2 linked regions of the Canis lupus familiaris genome follow. The main gene of each other region encodes a partner of the protein of the gene in region 2 in a complex. Links are inferred from orthologs where the notes say so. Each region holds a gene or a part of one and is shown on either strand. Other genes may lie near its edges.

Region 1 (3,832 bases), on a different chromosome or scaffold from region 2:
AATTTCTACCCTAAAGGAACCACGGAAACATTACTCCTTATTACTGGACATTCCACAAGGCTCTAATAATGTAAATATTCTAATTTACATTATTGGTCCATTTTGTCAAAGCCACAAAACTATGAGCACAACCTGGCTTTTTAAAGTGCTTTTAAAACAACACTTAATTTCATTATTTTTTGGTAAATAAATTTTTTTTAAAGATCTTATTTATTTATTCATGAGAGACACAGAGACACAGGCAGAGGGAGAAGCAGGCTCCATGCAGGGAGCCCGATGTGGGACTCGATCCTGGGACCGCAGAATCAACCCCTGAGCTGAAGGCAGATGCTCAACCGCTGAGCCACCCAGGCATCCCTTTTTTGGTAAATAAATTTTAAGTTCACAATCTCTTCCCTAAGAGCTTTTATTACTGGGATCCCTGGGTGGCGCAGCAGTTTAGCGCCTGCCTTTGGCCCAGGGCGCGATCCTGGAGACCCGGGATTGAATCCCACGTCGGGCTCCCGGTGCATGGAGCCTGCTTCTCCCTCTGCCCGTGTCTCTCTCTCTCTCTCTCTCTCTCTCTCGCTCTCTCTCTGTGACTATCATAAATAAATAATAAAATTTTTTAAAAAGGAGCTTTTATTACTAACTTTTATTTGTATTAAGAAAGAGAAGAGCCAACTTTAAGATCATGCTAAAACATATAATTGAAGATTCTCAAGTAACAGCAACAAGTTAAGAAGACGGCAGCCTGGGTGGCTCAGCGGTTTAGCGCCGCCTTCAGCCTAGGGCGTGATCCTGGAAACCCAGGATCAAGTCCCACGTCAGGCTCCCTGCATGGAGCCTGCTTCTCCCTCTGCCCATGCCTCTGCCTCTCTCGCTCTCTCCCTCTCCCTCTCTTTCATGAATAAATAAAATCTTTTAAAAAGTTAAGAAGACAAGAACAATAATATAATCTTCAGTTTCATTTCATTAAAATTACCAGATACTGATCATGATCATACTCAAATGCTAAGAGAAACAAACCTGTCACAGTAAATTAAATACTTCTGAGTATCTATACTCTTACTACTTAAAACCAAGAAAATAACCAGACGTGTGTATGTGTGAATGTGGGCGCCTGGGTGGCTCAGTTGGTTAAGTGTCTGCCTTTGAGTCAGGTCACGATCCCAGTGTCCTGGGATTGAGCCCCACATCGGCCTCCCTGCTCAGCAGAGAGCCTGCTTCTCCCTCTCCTGCCCACCCCGCTTGTGCATGCGTGTTCTCAGTCAAATTAATTAATTAATATATCTTTCTTTTAAAAGAATATATAATATGAACAACAAAATATCTGAATAATCATATGCATGTATATCTGTATGTGTATGTAGAGATATGAGTAAATTATCATGACCATGACAAATCTAAAAATAAACAGACTGAGAAATGTTCTACACTTATTCCAAGTTTTCCGAGCCATCAAATATATCATTTTTGTTACAAAATTATAGAAAACAGTTTTTAAAAGACTCATTACCTTATTAAAAAGGGGGGGAATATTTTACCTTATAGATTTTAGCTTTCACAAGAAAGAGTTCTATCAATGTAGGTGTACTTTCAATAGCGGTATTTATGTATTCCAGAGCGATGGATGGCTGACCAATTTTGTCATAATGCTGTGCCAAGTAGTATTGGACCCAAAGTAATGTGGTTGGTGGTTCCTCTTTTCCATCATCTTTAAAAAGTGGGAGAGGTGGGTGGGAGAGGAAATAAGCCAAGATTAGTCATTACATATATGATGAGAGTACCCACCTCCAAATGGCTTTATCTTTATTAATAAGGAAAAGCAGTTTGAACTATTTATTTATGTATCTAGTTATAAAACCATCCTTAAATTTATAAGATCTTTGGAAGGGATCATGCTGTCTGTTCTGTATCATTACAACCTCTAACACAATGCCTTGAATTTAGTAAGAACTTTATATATATAATAAATATGGCAGATAAATGAGATCAAAGATATTAAAAATTACCTAAAAAAAGAAACTGAAAGGAGTGGGGGTAGACAAGTTGTGCTAGTACTATGAAAGTGTAATGATCAGGATGTTATTTATGAGGGGCGAAAAAGGTATCAAAAATATTGATTTTCCATTAATGTGAAATTAAAAAAAAAAAAATGGCCTGACTGCTTAATTGGGTTTCTAGCTAATGTACTAAACTATACATAAATATACTTGTAATGTGGTTGAGTTTGGGGTGATTATAATATTAATATATTTTAATATTATGCTGATGTGCAACGATGCATAATTTAGGTCAAATAAAAACTATACCCCAAAAATGACAGAAGTAAAAATGCTTACTCTACATTTTAGTTAATTTTTTATACACTCACAAGAAAATGTGTAAGTTAAATATACAACCCACACATTATAAAATAGTTTTTAATACCAATATCTAAAATCTAAGAACTGTCATTTGCTTTCAAAGAAAGCAATGGATTGCTTATTTTTATCCTAGTAAAAGTAGGATGGCTCAGTGGACAAACAATAGGAGTGGAACTCACCAACTCCCGATCTGATAGATCTGCAACTAAAGTGCTGCATATTCTTGGGCATGTCATTGAACCTCTTCCACATTTGTAAAATATGTAGGAAAATGCTGATAATCAAAGGAACATCATGATGATTAACCAATGAAACCATGGTAACGCCTTCTAAAAAGTATTATTAAAATTAATCTGAGACCTAGAAACAATGATCAACCCAATAGCAATGAGCATCCCAGGTCCCATACTGGGCTTTCCCACTAAGAACCAGGGCTCCTTTGGAAAAACAAGTGATTCCAGGTCTGCTATGGGCAGTGTACCAGATGAACTGGAATATCTGGTCATACCAAACTGCAAAAAAGCTACGTGAAGGCTGGAACCATTTGAAACTGCAATGATTTAAAACATCAAGTATGTTTAAACCCATGAATTTATAATACCTTTAAAATGTGCTCTGGCATCTTTGAAGGATGCTACTAAATGAATTCATTATTTTGAAAACTGATAAAGAACAACAACAAAAAGTATGAGATACAGGGGAAAGCAGCAGCATTTATCTTGCTTTTCCTATATAAACCAAAATACTGGATAAACAGGTAACAGATGAAGGGAAATTTCTCAAGATAATAAAGATGAATGACAGATTATCACTAGCTTATAATTCCTGACAGTTGCTAACATACAAACACTAAGTGCCTCCTGGTGTAAGAACATACTACATCACACCCATGAAATAAACCTTTTTCACCCTCTGTATTTAAAAAGAAACAAACAAAAAAAAAAGTGAATCTCATTAAGCCTCTACCTAGACCTGTCCATTAGAAGCTTCTACAAGGATGGAAGCATTCTGTATTTGCCCTGGCCATTATGGTAGTAGGCACTGGCTTTACACAGCTATTGAGCAGCACCTGAAATGTGGCTACTGCAACTGAAGAACTGAATTATTAATTTTACTTAATTTAAAAATTTTAATAATCACATTTGGCTAACAGTTATTATACTAGACAGCACAGCTCTACAGCCAACTACCAATTTGTAACAACTCAGAGAATAGAAGAACATGTTAAGCAACACCATGCAAGTCCATTCAGCAAAATCTAGACTGTAGAAAACTTAAGAAAAAAAAATTCAAAATTTTAAGCAAATAAATTGCAGGAAATAGAGCAAATAGAACACCTATAGATTTTTTATAAGAGAGTTGAGATATATCAAACTCAAGAGTATAGATTTCATATGGGTCCTCACTCAAACAAACTTGAAAACCAAAGAGGGGGAAAAAATGACATTTCTAAGATAACTAGAAATGTAAGTAAGCATGGATTT
Region 2 (2,624 bases):
CAAAAAGTTACCAACCCGTCCAAGCCACTCCCTATGTGCCAGAAAATGATCTGGCATAAACCAGTCCTGTCAGTAGAGGAGGTCACAGTGACATTTACATTATTAACACTTCTGAACTTCTACTTTTCCAACAATAGAAGCAAAATGTTGAACAATTTCCCCTCCCCCAAATCCTTAAACTCAGTATCATAGGCACAGAAAATAAGCAAATCTGGGATGTTCTCCAACAGATAAGCAATAGCACAGCTATGTTATTCTCAAAAATACTGTCTAGATATATTTTCCTATATAATCAAATGCTCAGTGGCCACACTTTTAACAGTCTGCATTAGCTGACATTAAATGCATTTATTGTGCCACGAGTTCTTCTAAGCTTCCTTTTAGGTGTTTTCTAGTATGTCCAAGAGACAATACCTGCTTCAGGTTTATTTAGGGGTACTGACCTATAAGGACATCAACTCCCATTTTTAAGGTTAGACTAACTATTGTGAGTTTACTGATGAAAAAGGACAGGGGGGAAAAAGTAAATCACAACAAACCTCTTTAGGTCAGTTAAAGGCCATATCTCTAGCTGGGATATTAAAAAAAATTAATCTCACCAGCCACACTCTAAAAGTTAATGCCACTAAGAACAATCAACAGCAGGAAAAATAAACCTGCTACCAACCAGCCCATTCATTAGCAAAAAGCAGTTTAACTCAAATACTGAGACCAAAGTAAAACACTATCTACCCAAACTGTCCCACCCACCCTCAGCAAGGAATAAAGAAATAATTGCTTAAAAAAAAACAAGATAAGCTTAGTATTTCTTACAAGGATAACAATGGTCCAACTCCTGAGATAACACTCAGAAGGACAAAAGGTGGAGTGAAGGCAATGTCTAGGGATTAGTATCCCACAGTCTTGAAAAACCCAAAGTACCACAAACACACTAAACTTGTCTTTGAATTAGAGAACAAGATATTGCTGCTATTTCTTTTTGTCTTTTGATATATACAACATTTTTGTAGACTCTGCCCTTCAATGTGAAAGCAGGACATAAAAAAAAAATTGACACTGACACCCAATTTTTTGGGACCATATATATCTTAACTGTGAAACCAAACATATCTATACCTCCTCTTTTCTACAATCAAACCACCTCACAAAAATAAGAAAACTAAAAACAATCCAAACATGATTAATTTTGAAAGTCCTTGGAAGTATTAAACCTTTTTCAGAGGAAAGAAAAAGAAAGAAGGGAGGACAAACAAGAATAAGGAAGGAGGGGGAAAAGAAAGAGGGGGGAAAAAAAATCAATGGGCCTCTCTTTTATTTGGCGACAAGCAAGTGCAAGAAAGTTCATTTCTAATTTGTTCAGTTGTCTGTCTTTTGCACATCTGCATTCTGGCCAGAAGGGACTTTGAGGTTTTTCTGCAACACATGAGCATCTGCGGGCTCTATCCTCTTATAGTAGTTCTTCTTTGTCTCAATAATCTCAAAGCCAAACTTCCTGTAGAAGTCAATTGCCGACTCATTGCTGATCTGGACATGCCTGAGATATAGAAGGGTATCAGAAAAAAAATAAATAAGATTTTGTCAGCTTTTGTGTATTCTCCACAAATAGCTTCCAATTGGTTAGAGCTGGAATACTGCACACATTTGTTAGATTCTTCTCATAATTACTGGTAATCAACAAAGGTCAGTATTCATCTCAGAAAAACCTTTGATGACAAATGTATACTATTAACCTGCTACATTTGCATGACAGCTGGTTGAGGTTAGGAGACTCAGAAATAGTGTTTACTTTTACAATCAGCAAAGGACAAAGTACCTTAGGCTAGCATAATATTTTTCATTTCAAGGGGAAAAAAAGATTCCTGTAATTAAAAATGGGTAAATAACCATAGGGATAATTCAAAAGCCATATTTACACATGTAGGAAAAAATACAGAAAAATAATATAACTAGAGTTTCAAATGCCTGAATATATCCTCACGGATTTATTTTAAAAAATGCCAGATTTTGATAATAAATAATTTGAGCTTTCTCAATTGCTCCTTAAAACAGCATTATATAATCTCTCCCACCGACAAAGTTAAAATGAGAACAATCTTAATACCCTTGTGATATAGCCTTGGTTCTTAATTTGAGTTCTCTTAAGATAGAAATATCAGCTAGGTACTCTCTGATTTTAACTACTGAATTCTACTACTAATGAACATAGCACTAAGAACCTTAAACAAAACCCAGAGAGCAAACAGCATGAGAAAAGTAGTATTAATGATACTAATTCGCCAATTCTGAACACTTGAGTTTTAATCTTGGTTTCATCTCTGTGATTTTGGAGCTCCCATTCCAACATAATAAAGCAAAATGAGAATGTTTTAAGTCAGATTCCATATCTATTATTGAAACAAAACAAAACATAACCATTAAACTTCCATGGTTTTTCCAAAAGACAATGAAATAACTAACCAGATTTTAAAGTTTCTAGTAAAGATTTTTATTGCCAATCTATTAAAATCTTTAAGGACATTAAATATTATTTTACTTACAGATAGATGTTGTCAAAAGTGCCATCTTTTTCACAGATGTTTAAGACATGATTTAACATTTTAGTTCCTATTAACAAGACAAGACAA

What was found.
Region 1: the proteins of NAA50 (region 2) and NAA15 are in contact, whole or in part, in a cryo-EM structure (PDB 6PPL), measured with the Homo sapiens proteins. The link is inferred for Canis lupus familiaris from reciprocal best matches to the Homo sapiens genes NAA50 and NAA15. Residues at the interface, in NP_079422.1 of Homo sapiens: Arg5, His14, Asn15, Lys17, Gln18, Arg21, Leu22, Val25, Phe51, Asn52, Ile54, Ala55, Leu80, Pro82, Tyr83, Leu86; in NP_476516.1 of Homo sapiens: Pro369, Pro370, Thr371, Leu374, Ser403, Thr404, Pro405, Thr406, Leu407, Ile408, Phe411, Glu433, Ala436, Leu437, Asp438, Thr439, Ala440.

Annotation. Positions count from the first base shown.
Region 1 is NC_049240.1:4,068,041-4,071,872, forward strand, and holds part of NAA15 (N-alpha-acetyltransferase 15, NatA auxiliary subunit), read right to left. Parts: intron 2,623-3,832; exon of another isoform or gene 2,528-2,622; intron 1,697-2,527; coding exon 1,527-1,696; intron 1-1,526. UniProt on the Homo sapiens protein: Auxillary subunit of N-terminal acetyltransferase complexes which display alpha (N-terminal) acetyltransferase (NAT) activity. The NAT activity may be important for vascular, hematopoietic and neuronal growth and development.
Region 2 is NC_049254.1:18,657,352-18,659,975, forward strand, and holds part of NAA50 (N-alpha-acetyltransferase 50), read right to left. Parts: intron 2,605-2,624; coding exon 2,538-2,604; intron 1,535-2,537; coding exon 1,357-1,534; 3' UTR 1-1,356. UniProt on the Homo sapiens protein: N-alpha-acetyltransferase that acetylates the N-terminus of proteins that retain their initiating methionine. Has a broad substrate specificity: able to acetylate the initiator methionine of most peptides, except for those with a proline in second position.